Drosophila melanogaster: one gene and its partners. The protein of the gene in region 1 interacts with the protein of each later gene in a pairwise test. Each region holds a gene or a part of one and is shown on either strand. Other genes may lie near its edges.

Region 1 (6,136 bases):
ATGCGTAAATGGTTGTCATCGATGTTGAAAGTGCGTGCGATATTTTTGACCACTGTTATCCAGGCACGCGCGCAAGTTTTCCCATCGTAATCGGTTATCGTCTCTTTGGCGAGAGCGAGAGCATCAACTGGAAAACGCTGGCTCTCCGCTCTCTCGTTGGATCGCTGCGGCGAGTGAAATGTTGTGTTCTCTTTTGTGGCGCCAGCCTGCGTAAACTGCGCCGTCTGGATAACGGAACTAACTGTAGCCTTGCTTTGCTCTGGTTGTTGTTGTTCTTGGAACTGCAAGCTCGATCGTGTTCCGTTAAGCATTGCCTTCGCTTCTGCTAGCTCTGCGCGTAGTTGCTGTAGCTCGAACATGTTTGTCTCCCTCTCACTGCCAGTTTCGGTTGATTCTTTTCTGTTCATCGCATTCACACTTACGTGATCGGTGTTAATTTCACAATTCTGAAAATCCAGTGAAGAAAAAATGTCGTTTCCTGGTGGAGCGTTTTTCTGGGGGTGCTCCGGTGGACAATCGCCCCGAACTGCCGTTGGGATGTCTTGCAGCCTCGCGATTAATTCGGTTTTTGTGCCCTCCGTATTTTGGCCCAGAATACGTAGCCAATCTTTTAGGGTTGTCAGCGAAAAGTCGTTCAGGATGATTTTATCGTCCATTTTGGATTATTAATCCCACTTCTGAGATTTTAGCCGCCGTTTACAGAAGTTAATATTCTAATACAATTTCACGTGTCTCTTTTATTTTTGATCTGTCCTTTAGCTTGGTTCAACAGCGACTGACTGCCGCGCTCTCTGCAGAGTGGCGAGTCGATTAGTCGATAAGTTTCTCGATAATATTTGTATGTTAAGGATGGGTGTATGAGTGTATAAGCTTATGACTAGATTGGCTATGTATAATTAGGTATGTATGACTAAGAGTAAAGGAAGAGGGTAGAAGGAGCAGCCTACTACAATACTAGGCTTTGAAGTACTGAATTCAAAACAATATCTCAATGCTGACGTCAATCAAGTAACTTCTCCAGAAATTTCCCAAGCAATGGGGTTTTACTGTTCCACCTTCTTCTAATACAATAGATGGAGGCCATTGAATTTTTTTAATTAATTATTTAATTAACTTAGCTTGGCAGATAACATTTACAAATACCCATCCCGCAGAAATTATATTTATATTTTGAGGCACATTTTCTGTGAGCCTCTTTTTGAAAGATTTGCTACCAAAAAGGCGAACAACTAATCAACAATTTCAAAAACAACAACATTTAAAACAAATTTCGCTTGGTCGAAGTCAACATTTTTATTAGTTTCTTTTGAATGCCTTCAGCATTGGTATTTATTTATATATTTCATAAAAGGTATCTCGGCAAACAGACGTGGCTGGAGGAGATGCTCATGTACTAGCCGTCGAATTACAAATGGCGTAATCGGGAATTTTGGTGGTGCAGATATTGTTCACCTCGTCGTAGTACGGCGCATTGGTGGGACATGATCCGGTTATTCCGCTGGAGCAGATTGTGTAGTTCTTGCAACCCTCATCTGCCATGAATGGATTGTTAACGTTCCCACATCGGTTATGGGTACAGACAAAGGAGGCTGGCGAAACGCACTTGCCAGCATTGAATTGGGTACCGGTGGGACATTGGTTCCAATAGCCAGTGGCGTTTACTGCTGCACAGTAGTAGTACCCATAGCAGGTGACACCATCAGAAACGTACCTATAGTCAACAGATTCCCCATTTACAGTAAGTGGATCTGCTGCTTTAAAAGCTTCTTCGTCACAAGCAGTTGCATTTGTTTGCCCAACAGTGAACTGGTCAGAGTTTCCACTGTTTGAATCTTCGCCGGTGCACGGATTCGTCGACTGGCAGTTGCCAGTGGCTTTATTATAGTAGGGATTGGCGGTGCTGGAACATTTTTCGGAAGTGCCATAGCCGTTGACGCAGTTGATGTAGTTGCCGCACTGGTTCGGATCGCCTACAAAGATGTTGGACAACATGAACCGACAGATGGTGTCCTGCGGGCAGGCGGGTCCCCATATACATTTTGTGGAGGATGCCGAATAGACGCCGCCGGTGCCGCAATCGCCATAGGAGATTTGGCCTGTGCCATCGCAGTAGGCGTATTCGGTGCAGTTCAACGGATTGGCCACATACATGGGAGATTTGACGTTGGAGCATGTCTCAACGGCACTGGTGGAGCACACCGTGGTATTAGCGTAATCACAGCTGCCGGCCTGCGCGTTGAACACCAAGCCGTTGGGACAGGTGCCCCAGGCCACAACCTCCTGGTTCTTGCAGTATCCCCAGGCATGGCAGTTGCTCGGATTGCCGATGTATCCATAGCCCGACCACTGTTGGCACAGATCATCCATCGTGTAGCCGGTGGCCTGCGATGCCATTAGGAGACATGCGGCCACGACACAGATCCTCATATTGATTGCTAAATGGGGGATACAGGGGGATACGAACTATGAATTATTAAATAAAATATAGACATGTGTAATCGTCGAATAGTTTTCTATTTTGTTTGTACTTAATAATGCAAAGAAATTATGCTAGAAACGACAAAATTGATAGCTTTCAATCCAAAATTCGTGTTAGCGTCTCTAAAATTGGTTAAGCCTTTGTTGTAGCCAACACGGCAGCCCTTTTTTTGGATAAAAAATCAATTAAGGACGAAAGAAAAACTCAATTTGAGTAACAAATCGAAATTTGAAAGTCATTTTAGCCATTTTTGAAAGTCATCTCCTTTGCAGGAGAATTTCAGGGCCTTAAAACCATGTTTGAAACCACTTTTCAAAATTTAGTCGAAGCAAGACGTCTTGAATACTGTGCACCTGAGATAACTGTATCCGTTCTTCGAGCCAACGTACCTCCCATCTTGGAATGCTAATATTTTTCGGGGACAAATTCACTTGATAGACAGACGACCGAAGCGAACGTTCCGATTTCGTTACTAACTCAATCAATTGCAGCCTTTGCGTTTTTATAGTTGACAATTCGCGGCGCGAACTGGGTGGGTAATTAAAAAATTGTCAGCCAGATAAGCCAGCCGCCAGTAGGGCGTTAGTATCGAAATTAATGCTAGATAAGATTCTAAGGTCTGGGGTAAACCACGCACCTTGCATCCCTCCGAAGTTGTTGGGTTAGCTTGAAGGCGGTTCGAAGGCGTTGGACGACGAAAGTGAAACTAGCGGACCCGGCCAAAATGGACTGGCTTATAAGCTCAAATCGATTCTTGGCCAGCGGACACCATACATACTTAGTTTAGTATGTATATATAGTTTATATATATTTTTATACGTTGACAGCCGCGCCGGAATTTGGATTATCAGCTGCTGATTGCGAACCCTCTTTGTCTATAATTGTTTTTTAATTTCGAAGAAGCTCGAGGAGGCGGGAAAGTGTCACGGCTCTTATTGATCACTCAGTGGTGTTTCCCTGGTATCTCGGCACTCATTTCAGCAACACGACATTAGTTAGATATCTCAATTTGAATCGCACTGCGACTCTTGACTTGACTTGACTAGACTTTCCTCTGAAGGTTATCAGGTTCTGGGGAAAAATTACCGAACTACAAATGTTTATATTAATAACTTGTCCAAAAGAACCGTTTGAACTGAAATACAAAATAAATAAATCGCACTATGAAATTATGAAATTATGAGTTATATATATTTATTTATTTGTATGCATAATTAAATAGTACAATTATATGCAAGTATTTTGAAATTTTATTATCTATCTATATAATCTATAAAAATAATTGATGTTAATGTTTAATAACAAAAACCCCATTTTTTTAGTCAGTTTTATTTTCCGTTAAACTATTTTAAATCTATCCGCCTTATTTTATTGTTTCGCCTAAAAGCGAGTTTTGTCCGTTTAGAAATTCGCCCATAAGTATGCAATGACATTTAAACACTTTACTCGATACTTTTTCCAAATCACAAGGCATTTTCGAAGTAATTTAAATTCTTAAAAAATAGTTCAAGCTACGTGCTTATTTACTTTTTATATTTAATTGGTAGAGTACTAAAAATGTTTTTTTTTTTATAATAAAGAAGGGAAGCTCTCTATTAACCCACTAAGCCTTATGAATTAAACCAGCTGATCTTGCTCTTCATTTTATTACTATTTTTTGGCCGAAATGATAACTTATCTACTTCCTATTTAATTTACCGGTAGCCAATTGGCAATCTCCAACTTGTTTATAAAATCACCATTCACTACGACTAGAAATCACCCAGTACTTTAGCAACGAAAAATATAATTAATTTTTTCTGAAGTAAAATTTTATGAATGCTCCTTAAAAACATTAAATTTATAAATACAATTTTATCAAACATTCCCATTTTTTGTGCTCTATCATTTACCTTTTCAAAAATATTATATAGCAAATCCCTAAGCAAAATCAATACATTTGATTGTAATCTTCGAGCTTTTAACAAATGACTTCTATTCATCTTTATTTAACCCATCTTACCCAGTTGAATACCCCTCAAAAACCAATCCGCTTATCTTGCCAGCAAATAGTGATTGCTGCTTATCCTCTGATATTTATAAGTAATCGCAGGTCGACGTTCAGATTCAGTACGAGTTTATGCTTTGTCCAAAGTTGAGCTGTAATGGAAAGTGAGTGGATTGCAAACTGCCAGTGGTGTAAATCTAACTTTATTGTTTTTTCAAATTGCAGAATTTGGTGCCATACTGGGCGTGGCACTGGTGCTACTGCTTCAAGGCCTAGATGTGGTTAATGGCCGGAATGAGGACATCTGCCGCTTGTTCTCCAATAATACGGTGATCCGAGATCCCGAATCCTGCAGTCAATCGATCACGTGCATCGATTCCGTCAGCTACTACAGTACATGCACGGGATCTACTCCGTTTTTCGACAAGGACACGGGCAAATGCGTTAAGTCACTGTCCACTTCCACGTCCAGCTGCTCGATATCCTGCGCGGATCGGGCCAAGCAATTCGTGGCCGACCCCAAGTCCTGCTACGGCTACTATTACTGTGCGGACGAGGAGACGGCCTTGTACGGCACCTGTCCGCAGGAGACGCACTTCAATGCCACCACCCAGATGTGCTCCCGCCAACACGAATCGGATTGCACCACCAGCACCTTCGAGTACTGCAGCATTGTTAAGAACGGCGTAAACTTCGACAATCTGCAGGGCTGCAATATGTATCACGTCTGTGAGAAGGGCGTCCTGAAGGACAAGACATGCTCGAAAACCTATTATCAGGCCAGCACGGGCGAGTGTGTGTCCAAGGCTCTGGTGGACTGCGATGCCCATCCGTTGCCCACGGATGTCTGCGGCAAGGCCAGTAAGCCCTACGAGAACAAGTTCGTCGCGGATGAAGCCACCTGTCGCGGCTACTTCTACTGCGCCAAGCAGAAGGATGGCACCCCGGACCCCAATCCGGTGTGGAACCAGTGTCCCCAGGACAGATTCTTCGATGCGAGCAGCCAGATGTGCATAACCCCCAGTTCGGTCTATTGCTCCCACGATCGTTGCGACGGTCGGACTGCTAGTTTTGTCGTTAGTGCCACCAAGGGCTGTCGCAACTATCTGAGCTGCTCCGACGGGGTAACCGTGAGCGAGAGGTCCTGCGGCAACTACTTCTTCGACGACCAGCAGGGCGCCTGCACTCCAAGTGTCCAGACCTACACCGCGTGCAAGACGTAGGCATGTATTTCCAATAAAGCTCAGAATGCAATGTGATATTTGGTTAAGGAAGTGTTGTAATGAAGTGCACTAGTTTGGATTCTTTCGGGGACTGTGGAACCTGGATTGTCATAGATATAGATACGCGGCTCTCTAGCGAGTTCGTGTTTATGCACAATGACAAGTTTCTGCTGTAAGCCAGTATCTTTGCTGTAACTCGAGGATCGTAGTTGAGATATATTGTTTTTTTACCCGTTTTTATAAGAACGTAGATTGTTTTCGTTGCTCTAATGCTTAAGATTAGCTACCAAAAAGAACAATAATCTTAAACAAGTTCTAGTTCGAAATTCGAATAAATAATATCTGATGGGTGAGTGAAGAACACCTGTATTTTGTTTAATATTCCTGGAACAATTCAGCTGAAAACTAGGTAAATGAACAAATAGAATTTTAAGAATTCACTCAATC
Region 2 (5,411 bases), on another chromosome or scaffold:
AATTTGTCAAAACAATCGCAAAAACACGGTGGGGAATATATAACACAATTATTTTATTATTTTATCCATTTGTTAATCGAAATATATAGGCAGGCTGGTTGGCAGCGCGGGCTTTTGGTCTTGAAAATGCAGTCTGGCGGCAAATTGGTAGTTTATATCGTATGAAATTTATTTGGCCCGTAAAATGCAATCTCAATGCCAGCCGAAGGGAATTTCTGAATTTCTATCCTCCTGTTTGTTTTTTTGGGGGGCAACAAATTTGCCATATCTTAATGGAGAACAAAGACACATAGACCAGCTCACGGCTCTGTGGACTTGACTAAGGGAAGCCGAGCAAATATTTATTTGGACTTTTGTGTCCGCCAGTGGGAGGAATATTACTTATCCTTGCTACCCAGGACCTCCATTTGCACCTGAACACTGGCTGGGCAAATGCAGCTGAGGCTGCAGCACTTAATGTTTATTTTAATTGAATTGTTTCTGGGCGAACTTAGCCATGGCCCAGTGGAGACTAAAAGTTGTAAATTAGCAGCTAATTGTATATGCAAATTAAATTGCACTGCCTCTGCATGTGGCACTTAAATCATAATTTAGGCGTATTTAATATTTATTTGAATTTGCTTCTCCAAAAACATGGTATCTGGGCAACAGAGTGGATTTAATTGTATTCATATAATTTTTATTAAGACTGACTACTAATATTTTCAACTCATTAACCACCAATGTGTAAGCCGTAGCAAATTCTCCTTTCAGCCTTGTGTAAATTTTGGCCAAGTTGATTTGCATGAGTGGAAAGGCCAATTAAACAGACACACTGTTGGGAGAATTAACAAAGCGTCATAAGCTGACCCACACAAGCAAGTTGGCAAACAATGGCAAATGCGCAAACAGAAACATATTGGTCAAGTTGAAGGCTCAACCACGCCCCCATTCCGCCGGGCGACAGTTAATAGATTTATGCAATTGATGTTCCCTGACTGCGATAAACTCAACAAAGTGGCATAAAGCTCGGGTAATTTCCGCCGCCTGATGGACGGAGGACTCGCCGGGCGGAAGGACCTCGAAACGTCCATCAAAAACTGCGACCAGAACTGTACTGATAAGATATGAAAAGCAATTTACGTTAGCTGTCAGCGACAAATGCGCCCTCGTTTCGATTTATTTGCACATTTCATTTAACGACGATTACGTTCATTGACACTTTAAAGCCGTCGCTAATTAATGCGCCTGATTATGTGGTCGAAGAATATGACATATCCATAAATGGGCGAGAAATACGTTTTGCGGCTGACATTTTTCGAGTGCTCGCAATCGCAGGAGGCGTTCACACAGAATATTTTGTGATCGCCAACATGCTTTAGCAGCAGACTGTGGGGCCTCTTGTTCAACACCCGGAAATTGTCGCTGTTGTTGAAGGACACACGATTCTGGTGCCAGTCGAAGTAGCTGAGATGCAGATTCGATGGCCTCAGCTTCGTTCTGCCCTCGAAAATGGCCCGCCAGTCTACGCAGCTTGTAGAGTTCTCGAATCGCGACTCGCGCAGACTCTGCTCCAGGTCCAGAAAGCTGGAGATCTCTAGACCCTTCTTCGAACGCATCACCAGGTAGACGACGGTCTAAAAATTACAAAATGTACACATTTCACTACACATAAATGTAACCTTCTAACCGAAATTTGCTTTTCGAGCAGCTTCTTCTCTCGATTGGCAAACTGTTGGAGCACCTCATCTTTGTTGTTCAAGTAGTCTCCAAAAAGTTGGAGTCCTCGTAGTCCCCTTGGCTTTAGAAGCACCAACTCTTTCTCCTTCCGCTGGTAGAATTGCTCGCGGGTGAGCAGATTACCCAGGCAATTCTTACCGCAGGCATTCTGGATCAGGTTCCTCTGGATCTCTTTGTTGCCCAAATAGCGAGTGTCCTGGATGGTTATGAAGCTGTCTACATAGTCCTGGTAATGATTAAAGTTAATCAGATTCATTCCGCGCGAAACTCAAAAAACTAAAACTGAAAAGCTGCTGAATGGCAAGAAAACTGTGATTTCGTGTAAATCAAAATGTATAATATTTTGAATAAGTTCGAGCAAAATACATTACTGACAACAAACTGCCAACTTTGGCTCAAAAGGCAAAACTTTTGCTGGGCCTGAAGAAGCAGAGTTGTTCTCATATTCAATTTCGAATGAAAGTAGCTGAGCACAAAAAATATTCCTTCTAATTTTCGAAACTCGTGAAAAAGTCTTATCTTAATTGAAATTTGTTTGAGAAACTGATAGCCGGAATGGTTTGTAACAATTTGTAACAGCTTTAATTTCATGTGCGCACAAATAATTAAACATTTCCCACATAGAGTTCCCTTGGCAGAATCCGCTGCGCTGTTCGTGTGGCAAATTTAATAAATGGAAAAAGTTTCACAATGCCCAAGCCCCGACTGTGCCCTTGTCCCTTTTAGCCCAGAACTGTGAGTATTTTCAATTACACTTCCCTATGTGCCACGCCCTCTCCCGCCGCCCATCAGGGGCATTTCGCATATTAAACTAATTACTTCATCAACATTTTAAACTGCCAGCCAGCCAAAGGGAAAATTTGCATTTTCAGCCTGTGCGTATGCAGCGCTCTTTGTCCTTTTCCGCCTGATATCCCGTTGAGCGCACACTGTCGAGGATTAGCAGTCTAACAAGTGACACCTAGTGTTCCGCACATCGCCCTATGAATCCCAAGGACTTTCAGATCAGATCAGATTTACACATAAACGGTAACCAGTTGATGAACTTGCAACGAATAGTTTATAGTCAACTAAAAAATGTACCCAAGTCTATGAAATTGTACAGGATACTGTAACCTGCCTTAAAAATAAATCACTTTCAAAGTTCCTTTCGCCATTTGAGATTAATCACCAGGTAAACCAATTAAAACAATGCCAACAGCCGCTGCTAATCAGCCATAATTTATATATCAAATAGGGTGTGTAAGATGTCCTGCACTTCCTGGCAGATTTCCAGCTCGCTTTTCAATTTCCACACACAATACGCAGCTAGATTTTCCCCTTGCCTGCGTGAAGGTGTGTGTCTGTGTGAATTTACGCTATTTAGACACGCTTTCCCACTGTTTGCAGTTGTTGCTGTCGTCGCTGCAGCAATTAACATGCAGCCGCTGCCGACACTTGGAGCTCAGTGCTCCTCCACGTGCAGATCCCCCTCCATAGTTTTCCTCTGCATTTTCCCAAGCCTTCTCACAATTTCCCTTCCCTCCCCCCTCTCCATCACTTTGGGGCAACAACTGCTGTTCCGTTTTGCATGCTTTGTCACCATCTTGCCGCTTGCCGCCGTCTTGAGCGCGTAAATTGCTACTTCGTGGGCCAATCCTCCTGCTCCCCGCTGAAGTCACGACATACCCACTTCCCGCCAGTCTACTGGCAGGACCTACAGGACCGCCAGGACTGCCAGGACTCGCATTTCGCCCGCTGCGTCTTGGCCGTGGCCATTGTTTGACTTGGTCATTAGTAAATGTACTTTGTCGCAGCATAAAAAGGAGTTAAGTGCGCACTCTAAGGATTTATGTGCATTACCAAAGAATGAGGCGGCAATGCTCAATGCTGCCTCGGGAAAGTCGAGGCTGCTTTTGCCATGTGTTAAGTGCACATTTCTGATGAATGAGTCGGCTGGCTGCAACTGCATTTCAATTGCAGAAAGTGCTGAATGGACTGAGGGCTGGAATTTATAGTTGAGCAGTTGCCGTCATTATCGCACAGGGCATGCCAATCATCCACTTGAGCAGTTGCATAGATTGAAGTTATCAGAGAACTTCTAGATATGTAAATCATATTTTTTCAAGCATTCATACATTTCGAGCATGACAATGGACATGATTGCCGAAAAGCGTAGAAAAGCATACTGCTTGCATGTGCAAGTCAACCAGGAAGGGGTTTTTATAATTCCTATTTTGATTTCATTTTGCAGACCCCTAACTACGAAACTCCCAGATTTTCTGTGTAATCCCATCGCCACTCTGGAGTGCAATTTCCTTATTATAATGACGCTTGGCAGTGGTAGTAGTGCCACATGTCCGGCAAATAAATGGCTTACAGCCACGAGTCCTTTGAACTGTTGGCAAATGCTAACACAAATTATCAAGTTACCATAAATTGCCCTCGCCCGGGCCGTACATCTAGCCAATGAAATCAAAGCCACATAAATTGCGCAAATAATTCTGCCCTCTCTCGGCATTCTCCACTTTTCTCCAGGGAAAATGGAGCCCAACGAAACGCAGCCAAGACAAAGGACGGACCAAAAGAATCATCACTTACAACTGACCACAAAGCTCCACAGCCACATCCATAGCCCGTCCATTCCACATCCACGTCCGCATCCACATCCACATCCCTTGGGAGCGGTGGTCCCGCAATCGATCAAAAGGAATTATGTCTCAACACAATTGTAAATAAATCTTTGCGGCCATGTGGACATCATGTGCATGCCGAGGTCCTGGCCGAAGGATTTGCCCAAGCGGGCAAAAGGGAACTGGGCAAGATGGGACAGCCTCAAATCCTGCATATCATAGACACTGGGTATATGAAGATTGAGTGGTAATGTGTGCAAATCTAAAGCTTTCCTCCCCAGTATGCCCCGATTTTGCCTAATGCGGCTGCTTCGATTGCTGTCCATCCGTTGACATGTTGGTAAATTGCTCCTTAGCTGATTGCATCGATTTTGGGGACTGGGTCTTAGACAGAAACTGGGGAATTAAGTGTAAATGCCGGAAATTAATCTGCTCAAAGGGAGACAAAAGCAGCAATGGGCCCGAGCCCAAATGCAATATTATTCAAAGTGATTTTACAAGTGCCGTTGGCGGCAGTAGGAAATCGCCCCGTTGTCCGGTTCCTTTTCAGAGGCCGAATACTTATAATGCGCATCGATAATGATTTGTAATTTAAAGCTCAAACAAATTTCCGGCAATTTTTGCGGCAGACACGCGCCAAGCATTTTCAACCTCCTTCCACACCGCCAGCGTCATCTTGTTTACTTTTCATCTGCCGGGAAAAACAACTTGAAGGCTGTGTAAAAAACCGAACTTATCGGCGTAATCATTGGGCCAAGGAAAAGAACATTAATTTGTTTTCTTGTAAACTGCCGTGCCGAGGGCTTTGTGTAATCAACACGAACGTGAGCATCTTCAATGGCTCGCATTCGGTTTGTTTGGCTTGGTTTGTTTGGGAAACTTCCCAACCGGAAATTCGATAGCAGGAAATGTGAAATGGCCGTTAATGGCGTACACAGTGCGTATGCGTAATGGTTCGGGTATCAGACAGGAATAACTAGCCGCTTTGCGGAGAGTCCTTTAAAGAGTCGTATTAAATCTCATTAACGTGAAAATTAATCAGCTCTCACTACAAATTAATATTCTTGTTTTAGTTTATTA
Region 3 (4,628 bases), on another chromosome or scaffold:
AAGTAATATTTTTGTATTTCTGGTTTAGTAGCACCTGAGATTGTGTTTTGATTGACAATCTTTATAAGTAGAGATAAAATGGTTCGAATTCCTAATCAGCACTTAACAAAACTGCTTTTGGCCATTGCAAGCAATCGAAACAGTAAACGTTCGCAGGGTCTTAAATTTTATGTCTATCGGTGGAGAACAATCCAAATGTTCCACAATAGACATCCAAACCCTTGAGCTTTGTTCGAAGCACTAACTAAACCTCAGATTTGGCTCTCCGATTTTTCCAATTTCACTCAATATGTCGACGCATGCGTGTCGTAGTACCACAAGGAAACACTATGATTAAAAATGTCGCCACTGTGCCAGGAAAATCTCAATTTATCGGTACTCTCAGTTTTCAGCTATAACTTGGATTTTTGTCTCTTTAATGCTCTCTTTTTTCACCAGCTGATGGCCCGAAGTTATGGCTAACATCGCGCCTCTGTCGCCCAAAAGCGTGCTTCGGTTTTTCCTTTTAGGTTTTCCCTTGGCTGTTTTCCGCTGCCTTTCGTGAAAATGCCTTGGGTTGAGTTGAGTTTTTGGGTTCGAGGTTTAAGGTTGGGGATTTTTCGGGGTTGGGTGACCGGGAGCAGCGACTCTTTGTTGCTTTTGTTGGCACTCTGCTGCCGCTCCTGCTCCTCCTACTGCTTTCAATTCAATTTTTCGCCAGCTGTTGTGCTTAATTTGAACTTTAAGCATTTTCCTTGTTGTTGTTTGGGAATTTCCGGCTTTAATGCGGCATTTCTGCGGCTGGGCGACGAAAACAACTCAATGTGAATCGGAAAATGGAGAATAGGGAACCGATTTCGTAGCGTTAAGAAGTCCTTTGTGGGTCAACCAGTCAGCCTTTTAACCGCTAATGAAGACTTATTTCGCAGCACAGCAAAGGCAATGCACTTATTTATGGTTAGGCCGTAGTATTTCCCATCCGAAATATGGACCGGTTGACAGTATAAATAATGTGTTCCTTTGCCAGAATTTATGGCACTTGTATGTCTTCTGGTCTTCGGCATCCACTTGGCTGCTATAAATTAGAGCCACCGACCAGTCCGACCTTAAATGTGAAGTGCGTGTGTGTATGGCTACAGGATCTCCACCTCCAACCACATCCATCCACTCCCCCTCAAATACGCACACACACACACACACACACGCATTCCCGACACGCAACAAAACACACAGATACCATTGGTACACTTGTATTATGGCAGCGGCTTTTGAGGTTTTAAAGCGTTTTGAGGTGACACATAATGATTAGCCAGCCATTAATTGCTTAGCACTCGAGGCACTCGATTACACTAATTAGGCGTCTTATTAACCTTAAACACATACACAGTTACAGAACTCCTTCGGGGCATTCGTATTTATTACGTGAGGGTTCTTAAAACTACAATCTTTAATAAATTCCTTTATAAATTCTTATGAAATTGTGCAGCAAAGGCAGCAGGGACGAGGTCCGTGGTGATGATGGGGCGGTCCATGGTGATGTGGCGGTCCATGGTGGCCTCCATGATGCGGGGGTCCGCCATGATGCGGTCCTCCATGTCCATGGCCTCCGGGTCCTCCGTGTGGTGGTGGCATTATTCAGATATTTTTGCAAACTTTGAAAACCGTGCGGTTGGGTCCAACTCTTATAGGCAACTAAATCCATATTGTCAGGGTAAATCTAATCAAGACCTGCCTCATAAAGATAAGTACTATCTAATCTGTATAGTATTGCTTGCTAATCGATAGAAGTGTTAGTTAGCACAAACATGGGAATATTATGATGACCATGGCGATGAGTAAGGCCTTGTAAATGCTGAATTAGTCATGACAAATAAAATGAGGAAAACCCCTCTAAGGTCTCCTTCTGAGATAGCCATATGTACAATTTTTTTTTGCTTCTAGTTTTTAAGTGATAAGATTAAGCTTCCAAAATTATAAAAAGTACACTACCGCTGGGACTTTGTGAAATGTGCATTTTCTCTATTGTACACTTAAAATTTAATAATAATTCAAAATAACATAACCCAAGAGATAACAAATGTAACTTTCATTGGTAATCTATTCCAAGGTATTTCCGATTTTCTAAAAGGTTTGTTGGTAAATCGATAAGATAATGGCTTTCAAATTTTGCGGAATTATGTGCTTATAAGACCGCCCAATCGATCAACATTATTCTATGGAAATTCAAATACGAATTCGAATGTTCTTAGAATACACGACTTATTGGCTTTCTTCTGAAACCGAAACTCCATTTGTACTTTATTTACTGCCCTTGCCAATGAAGGCAATAGTACTTAATAATTGTAGAATACGAACTTTCCACCAATCTGATTTTGTCAATTTGCCATTGAGATTGCTATAGTGCATATATAGTTCATGCGAGTGGAGCAACTTGATTTTAATTCCTGATAAAGAAAAGGCAGCCGTGGCCATGTAACTATTTACTTTCCCCATGACATGACCCAGAAAAGTATGGCGAAAATTCGCCAAGCCAAGTGCAGGCACATTCGGCAAGAAAACGGATGGAGCAAGACCAATGGCTTGGCTTTTTGAATTCAATTAATTTTATCTGCATCAGTTTTCCCTTATAATCGCATCCCAGGGCTGCTCACATGCGAAACGGAAAACGGCTAAAGGACTGAAGGACGAAAGGACGCTTACTCGAAAAAAGGACCGCAACTCGTAAAATATATAAAGTCATTGCAAAAGCCAATTTGTATATCAGCGTTGGCGGCTGAGGCCCGGCGATTATCAAACTGCGAAACTTACTTAAAATGCCCTCAAAAGGGGGTTTCCCTTGCCAAATGGAACGGTGAAGGGGAGTTGGCCCTGCTTTCATGGTAACAATTACATTTCACAGATTTTCGTTTGGGGTCGCGTGTGCCGTTGCATGTTGTTGGTGCGGTCGCATTCGCGTCCGCTTTTCGCGTTCTTTATTTCGGGCTTAAAGGAGCTTACATTATCGCCGGGTTGGCAAAAGGCAAAACCCACACACCGGCAGGCGAATTTCCACTGGCTGATGGGCGACGTCTAAATATGAGAATGTTGTGTGAAAATGTTTAAAATCCACGCGAGCCTCTCCGAGCGCAAATGCTTAGCACGCCATAAGTGTCAGCCAGCCATGATTGCCTGCGGTTTTCCCAGTGTATTTTCCCGTCTGTTCTATATGTGGATACAGTTGCGGTTACATAAATAGTGCTAGATCTATATAATATGTTTTGTAAACAAAATGGTTCGGTTTTTACCCTAAGACTTATGGTATTTATTAGTTTTGTTTTGTTAGTTATTTTTGGCTACAATACATTTCATAATACTTAATAACTTTTTAATTGTGGTTCATATTCGCGTTATACTTTTTTTTTGGTTTTTTTTTAACTATTATAAAAACTACTATTAAACTGATCGCGGCTGTAAATGTGTGGGTTTTATTCCTTTGGCCAAGGAGTGGCCACTTTTGCATACCTCCCCCTGAAAATAGCGTGGCGGGCGCTAAGAAAGGAAGTAAATAGTGGAAAAGGCATAAATAATAGCAAATAATACGGCGACAATGCGCACAAATTTGCCGCTAAAGTGTAGTCATTGTCGAGGAAAAAAAAGTAGAAAAAAAAATTAGAAAAGGAGTCCTGTGCGTGAGCTAAGCCACAGGACCTGCCTTTGCTTTTTGCATGATTTCGCTGTTTAAATTTATTACACATTAGATTTATGATCGCGTTGAGTTGCCCCTACTTCCCGCAACACTCCTCACTGCTTATCACTGCCCTTTGTGGTGGCTTTAATTTCATTGTTACAACTTCTATTTGAACTGAGTGTGAAGCATAATTTATAGGTGACCGTGTGGCGAGTGTGTGCAAGTTTTTAAGTGATTTCTTTCGCTCGGGTGCCACTGGGCATGCACAATTATTGGGTGGCCTGTGCCACTTCTGTCACTCGCCTTGCGGTCAAATTTCCACAGAGGGTTTCCCCCGGTTTTCCCCTAGTTTTCCCATTTAATCACAGGTTTTGGATAGCCTTGCGTGGCTTTTAAGCGCTTATTAGAAGTGTGACAGAATTCGAAGTTGAAGAGGAAACGGAGACGCCCCCTCACTTGCCACTTCCATTTGACACACACGAAGGCCCACACTAATAATATGGGGCAAGCATTAGTTGTGCCTCGAAATACAAACAGTTGTGAATTAATGAAAACTTTAATCAAAATATGAGAAAAGAATTAAACAACACGTTTTACGGCTCATTATAAATGAACTAGGAAAAACAAAGAGCAAACAAAATAGTTTATGGAAAACCTAATAAATCATAGGAAACGTTGAAATTTACTTTCTTTCAAAATACTGATGTTAAGCAACACATATCATCGAAACATATCGGACTCCTTTCAACCCACACTTGTTTTAATCTTTATTAAATTTATAGTAAAATTAACAGCCAAGTTTTAATAACACTTTAACACTTACTTTATCAAGTTGTACACAATACTCATTTTAAGAGCGTGAAAACGATACCCATTAGAATTTTGGCAAGGTCTACATCGCAAAACTAGTGAATACAAGAAGCCAAAATGACGTCGATTGTGGAGATGCCAAGGGCAAATTTAGAGGAGGCCTTGCCACCAT
Region 4 (6,656 bases), on another chromosome or scaffold:
GCGATTGAAACAAAAGGCGGAATCAAAGCAAAAGTAATTTCGTTGGCTCCCAAATTTTTCCACTCGTATCGAACTTTTGGATGCCTCGACGGTTACCAGAATCCTGCGCTTGCGTGCGTGGGTGAGAATGCCCGGGGTTTTGGTTTTTCGGGCACAGGTGCTTCCAGGCCGGGGGTGGGGCTTAGGTGGGAGTTCGGAATTCCGCGCTTCGACCTTGTTTCAGATTAGGTTTTCTTAATTTTGGTGGGTTTCCTTTAAGCCAGCCAAAGAGCTTGGCGGCAAAGTGTAGTAATCCGTAGTCCTTGGCGAAGTCCTTGTTTCGAGGTCTCAAAGTGCTCTATATACACACATTGCTTCGCTATATATATACATTTATCTGTATGTACTGTCGGTTGGTTATTAATTTTCTGTTTACTTTTTGTATGTTTTAACTTGTAACTTATAGTTGCATAACATTTGCTTTTTGCATTTGCAAACAATGCAATTTACGAATACCGCACTTATGAATTTCTTTTAGAAATTTCTCTAATTATTGCACAATTTTCACATTAACATTTATGGTAGTCGAGCTTATACGCGATTTACTTTGAGTAAATCTTGTGTTTGGTTTTATTTTAATTGATTGTGTTAAATAAACGGTAAAAAAGAAACGAAAAAGTTTTATTTTGGGCTATGCCCATTCTCGTTTTAACGGGTTTTCAGTTCGCGCACTATTTTTATTCGTTTCTACATGGATGCCAAAATTATATGAGTAATATAAGAGTTGATTTCGTAACCGGCTCAGGTGCAGTAGTCGCAGTCGGTTGCAATTTCAGTTTGGTGCATTCTCTTCTTGTTGTGCAGAATTTTTCAGCGCCAAAGTGGAGGAAAGTGATGCGGGAAAAAAGCGTTACGCGCGTCAGGGCGAATCAAGCTTCGGACTTAGTGTGACCGCAGCGGGAGTAAAGGAATTCGCTTTTGGTGTGGCTGCACTCGCGTCCCCGAAAGATACCATGCGGTGCTGAAAGAAATACCAAATTAAATCATTATGGGTTCAAAATATACCAAAAAGCAGAGGCTTTTTTTTTAAGGGGGATTCAATTAATAAGTATACTTTTAAATAAATTAATAAGATGTAAGACGATATTATCTTTGAAAAATGTATAAAATTTAAATAAAACTTTAAAAATCGTATCTTTTTGATCCAAATTTCGGAAAGTGTTGCAATTTCATTTTCGAATTGTATTGTCAAAACCTGCCGCTCAGGTAGCGCACTCAGCGACCGTTATATTCAAAATGTTTGTGCTGAGAGCAAAATTATTGAAAAAAAGTAAGAGCCTCGTCCATTTACTCATCTGTTGTCCTCACACTATCTTTAGTGCAACCGCAAAGGCCACAAAAACATGACAGTACGCACAGGAAAACAAGCATTGCAAATGACTTCACAACTGAAATGGAAAAAAAAAAATGCAAAATACGGACAGTCCGTATGCGGTTTCGTTGTGCCAAGTTAAAATATTTGCATTTGCGGTCTAGTCTTTTTGCATTTTCAACCACCAAATAATCCCTTCAGACTCTGTTTGTGGGCTCTATGTGTATATAATTTTTTTAGGCTGCAATAAGGCTCCGAGTTCATTCTTGCACTCGTTTTACTTTAAAGTTTTGGCCATAGTGTATACTGAGATAAGGAGTAATAAGTAGAGAAGGGTATAGCATTGGAAAAACGGATACTAGAGGGAGGTGAGGGCGCAGAGTAAAGGATTATGTGGGAAGTGGAGGGCGTTGCGCATCCGGCAAAACAGAAAGAGCAAAACTTTTACTACAAGCGCGTAAACACTGCAATTTCTGCACGAGGGGTAGTCTAAGAGCATTAAGGGGAGGCAATCCGGAAGTTGCGAATGGAATGGAAACAGGATTCTGCGCATATGCTGTCCTACGAATGCGTAAATTATGAATATATCATTCAAATTAAAATGTAAAGTTAGAATAAACAATAATAACAGCGAAATATGTGTGGAATTTATATGATATTCTGCGTCATGCACCACAATGCGCATTATATAATAATTGTTATTATAACACCTGCATAAGGCCTATTTTTCTATTTCGAAAGAATGATTATTCTTATGATGAAGAACGTTCAAAATATTACGCGCCAAGCTTGAATCCAAGTTCTCCACCCCGGTTTGAGGACGCACTAAAATGTATAATATTCCTGCGGGATATTTCTGGAACTTTCACAATCGATATTCGCTGCGTAGACATCGATGCTGCCGCCATCGAGTTATGTTCCATCCCTACGTGCAACGGTCACTCTTATTTCATCAAACGAAACGGACGTGTTTCTGCAGACTATTTACATTACAAAATTGTTTGTAACAGATAGTGAGCCGTGTATACATAACGAGGTGAAGCAGACGATGCACTAATGTAAAGGCGCAGTGCCAGAGCAACTTTTTGGCGTGTTCCCCGCGTGGAACTGCATTTTTTTTTGTTTCCTTCCTCAGTTTTGTGTGTGGAGTGCGAGCGAGAGAGCGTGCTAGCGAGCAGGAGCAGAACGGTAAGTACTGGCGGCCAGACAGAGACAGAGAGAGCGCAAAAAAAGAGCGAACGGCAAAAAGTCAAAACGGTAAAAAAACATAAACCAACGCCTCGCCTTTTCGGGGAAAAGTATTACCTGAAAATCTGAAAAAGGTTAAAAACCTACAAAAAGTCCCCTTGCCATTAGTGTCAAATTACGAATTGGCACTTGGCTGCCCATTTCTCATTCTCAATCCGGGGCTGAGGCTGCTCAGCTGGACAAGGAGAGGGAATAAATTCGTAGCAGGCGCTGCTTTGGTGTTCATATTCATCATATTGTAATTTTGATTCCTCGCAATTGCAAAATTTAAGCATACGTTTTAACTTCCTCTAACGCCTTTAATTACAGAACAAATTACCGTGAAATTTTAGCACTAGCCGTACGTTATTTTGTATATTTGTACGCATGTACGTGTACGTGCCCCTCGTCCGTCTGCACAAATGCAGATGTGCATGTGCATCACAGTGAATTGGAGTATTTTTATACATGGAATATCTGAGCTATTGTAGTATTCCGGATAGAGCCAACAACCACAAAGACGAGGAGTTTCCACGAGAAATAGGAAAAAGGAACGGAGGAGCAAATAAGCAGCAGCAGGAGGAGGCGTAGAGCTTGACCAGGTGTCAAGGGAAGCCGGATAGGCTTAAAGGCAGGTCTACCTTAGGAACTAAGAAATAGGATAAATCGAATACCCTTATAATCATCACATCTACCAATCGAAGCACAGGAAGCGGTAAGTTTCGAAATCTGACTTACAACTTACTCCCATTCTAGTATTTGCTTGCTTTTTCACGCAATTTACATTAATTGTTTGTTTATTAGTTTAATAACACACTACTACTACTATAACACACTGCCTCCAGTACGAATGCACTCCCAATAAGCGATCGCGATCCCATTTAGAGCAGCACCCACACACTCCAACTGGTTTTGTTTACAAACAAACATGAAACAAGTGAGCCTATCTGCCAGCCAGGTTTTCGTTTTCCTCGCCATGGAGTGAAAAGAGCCATGCACGTACTTCGTCTGCTGGAAAACTGGTTTTCTTCTGGCTTGAAGGTGCTTGGCCGCAAACTGCAGCGGAGTTGGTTTTTCTAGGCCAGCAGAGAGCTCCAAAGAGAACACCACAGTGAATATTGGCCAATGTTTGTCTTCATATTCTTATCAATCAGCATTGAACGCTTGCTTAGCAAAACAACAATGAAATTCCGTTTGGTAGTATTATAACTAAAAGAAATCATATCGTAAACAGTTTTAAGTGATCTAGTTCTTGCGGTCTCCACTGTGCCGATGGAAGTGCTGACGGAATGCCAAACTGGTTGTAGCCATAAAGACGACAGCAGCCCATAGCTCACCTCCTACGCTCGCTGGCAGCTGCTTCTTTGTGGCTGCCTTTGTTTTGTTCCGCTTTAAGGCCAGTACTGACTAATAGCGCCACTTGTTACCGTGTGTCACCTATGTACAAGTATTTAGGCTGCGCAAGTGACTAGTCCATTGATAAAACCGGCGCGATAAGGTGTCGAGCCATCTTCGAAAGCATTTTGGATGTATACACGCCCCGCGAGTGACATCATACACCACATTCCAATTAAAGAGCTCAATTGATTGAAATATTAAAGAATAAAGAAAAGGGTAAAAGAGGGAGTGCATTTGTAAAATAGCCCTTAGTCATAAGATGTAAACACATAATTTGCATGATCATTTTTGGTTGCTTTTGCACACGTTTGATTTAACTCTCATTCGCATGTACTCACGGCTTTGACTGAAAACCTAATACGCCAAGCATTTTCCACATCGCCAACTCCATTTTCACTTTCATTTCCATCTTACTAACATTACGATTTGTACATCTGTTTTGCTCTGGCCGCGGTTTTCCTAACTCTCCGTGTGTGCCTGTGCGTGTGACGGTGCGATTGTATGCGTGTGCAGATCCTTCGAAGGTCCTCCTATGTTCCCTCAACAGGGAGGGGGTGGGAAGGGAACCAGGCCACAGTCGACACATCAGCAGAACCACAACCATCAAGCCCAGCATCACCAGGCGACGCACTCGCACCACCATCACCTCCAGCAACAGCAGGAGCAGCAGCAGTCCCACGCAGTGTTCGTCCCGAACCACAGCGGCCTGCACCACCACCAGCAGCAGCACTTACTGCAACAGCAGCAGCAGCAACACCAACAACAAGCAGCCGTCGCCGCCGCTCATCTTCAGCAACACATCCAACAGCAACAACAGCAGCAGGTGCAAGCCCAGGCCCAGGCGCACCACCAGCCGGTCATCTTCTACAATACCCAGCCGTCCTACGCCGCGCATTCCGCGGCGGTTAACAACAGTGCCAACGGCGGCGGCGCTACCCTCCAACTGAGCGCCGCCGCCAGTTCCAACACGTTGGGACATCCTCTTACTGGTGGTCACCATGGTGGAGCAAATGGCGTGGCGCCGGGGTCAAACATGCCTCGTGCCCTGAGCAACCCAACTCTACCACCCCACTTTCAACAATCAGCTGGCCTGATCGCACCTGCCGGCGGAAATGCGGGTGGACCCTACATTTCCGCCACCTATATACCAATTAATCAGACCGGACCTCTGATGGGCATGCAGCCAGCTGTGACCTTTCCCACTAACGGAGCGGCTGGAGCTTCATTCTATGCGGCTGCGCCACCTCCTCCACAACAGAAACAGCTTCCTCCCACTGCTCAACAACAAGGTCCAGGCGGGGCACCGGGAGCTGCTCAAACGCCGACACTAGCTTACTACCAACTTGGGCCGAACGCTCAAAACTCTGCTGGAAACAACGTGGTTAGTGGTGCCAATACACATCGCGGCAATATGCGCGGAGGGCAAAGATCTACTCCCACCGCCCAACATACCAACTACTTTACCGCATATACCATGGCCCCAGGAAATGCCCAACGTCCCGCTCCGACAAATGTGGCTCCAATGATGAACTCGCGCAGCGGTGCACTGAACGGAGCTGCTGCTTTTCATCATCTGCCGCACAACTTTGGCATTCCCAGTTTGGCATTGGGACCGCCCGCCGGGATGACGACCCCTATTTTGGCTCCGGCTGGAATGCAGGCGCCGCCACCCCAACCACCAGGCGGGCTGCACACATTTGCTCCGCACTTGCAGAGCAACAGCGCCACCACCTTACCTAGTGTCCCAAGTGTGACTGGAGTTCCCGCGGTGGCCAGTGGTTTTTCAACCACCTCGCTTCCAACTCCGTCAGTAACAACAGCACCGCAACTGGGGGCCAACAGCGATAAGGTATGCAAGCGCAAATACGCCATTCCCATCATCCATCCTGACACCATGGAGAATGTGATGGATGGATGGAAAAGATCGGTTTTTATAAAAAAGGACTCAAACTCGACACTAACACAGCACACAGATCTGGACACAGCTCTGGATGACAATAGTACCTTGTGCCTGTACCAGGCGCCCACTCTGATGGACTCTGGCTCGGGGTCATCGTTATTGTCTGGCGCAATGGTAGATCAGCAGATGCAGACTGTGAAGCCGGCGAGTTCCCTTAAGCAGTCCGTTTCCTTGGAAAAGGTGCCAGAAGCGGTGTACTGCAAAGACGCTGTCGGTCAGGACGTACACCCATCGCCTCCACCCAAATCAACGGATAAAGATCAGATCAGCGTAATTGTAAAAGACATACTAGCCCACTCGGGCAACGCAGAAGACCATCTAAGCTTCTGGCAATATAGTGACGGTGAGTTCATAAAAACGTCCAAATTTTCTTTAGAATTGTATTTGTAAACGAAGGGAAGCATCTCAATATCGTTGAAATGTTGAATTGAAGTTAGCCGGGCTTCAAGTGTCAAAGTCTAATGATTCCTCTTGCAGTGGACAATGTCACGGAGACCCACAATAGCCTGCCGCTAGTACAGTCGGACTTGCCCGATACAACCGATACGTGCCAGCAGCCAGTGCTTTTCCAAGAGCAAGCCAAAAAGCAACGTCCCAAATTGGCCAACAAACAAAGTATGTTCCGTGACAATTAATCCATTAACGTCGACTAAATTGTTTGCTCACAGGTACAGCTACGCCAGCATCCATAGCGAATGACGTAGCTGAGGCAGCAGCCAG

What was found.
Region 2: the proteins of CG6933 (region 1) and CG3528 interact in a two-hybrid assay, tested with the Drosophila melanogaster proteins (one large-scale study listed by BioGRID).
Region 3: the proteins of CG6933 (region 1) and CG15126 interact in a two-hybrid assay, tested with the Drosophila melanogaster proteins (one large-scale study listed by BioGRID).
Region 4: the proteins of CG6933 (region 1) and eIF4G2 interact in a two-hybrid assay, tested with the Drosophila melanogaster proteins (one large-scale study listed by BioGRID).

The regions. Positions count from the first base shown.
Region 1 is NT_037436.4:20,217,229-20,223,364, forward strand, and holds CG6933 (uncharacterized protein), read right to left. Parts: upstream 3,193-6,136; 5' UTR 3,124-3,192; coding exon of another isoform or gene 3,117-3,123; intron 3,008-3,116; 5' UTR 2,876-3,007; coding exon 2,833-2,875; intron 2,436-2,832; coding exon 1,387-2,435; 3' UTR 1,274-1,386; downstream 1-1,273. Other genes in the region: CG17145 (uncharacterized protein), read left to right, coding at 4,624-4,630, 4,692-5,689.
Region 2 is NT_033779.5:2,515,982-2,521,392, forward strand, and holds CG3528 (uncharacterized protein), read right to left. Parts: upstream 2,057-5,411; 5' UTR 1,976-2,056; coding exon 1,670-1,975; intron 1,617-1,669; coding exon 1,215-1,616; 3' UTR 1,121-1,214; downstream 1-1,120.
Region 3 is NT_033778.4:19,687,828-19,692,455, reverse strand, and holds CG15126 (uncharacterized protein), read right to left. Parts: upstream 1,659-4,628; 5' UTR 1,612-1,658; coding exon 1,450-1,611; 3' UTR 1,378-1,449; downstream 1-1,377. Other genes in the region: CG15128 (uncharacterized protein), read left to right, coding at 4,574-4,628.
Region 4 is NT_033777.3:23,814,864-23,821,519, reverse strand, and holds the start of eIF4G2 (eukaryotic translation initiation factor 4G2), read left to right. Parts: upstream 1-2,282; 5' UTR 2,283-2,539; intron 2,540-2,700; exon of another isoform or gene 2,701-2,908; 5' UTR 2,909-3,293; intron 3,294-4,489; 5' UTR 4,490-4,508; coding exon 4,509-6,279; intron 6,280-6,413; coding exon 6,414-6,551; intron 6,552-6,604; coding exon 6,605-6,656.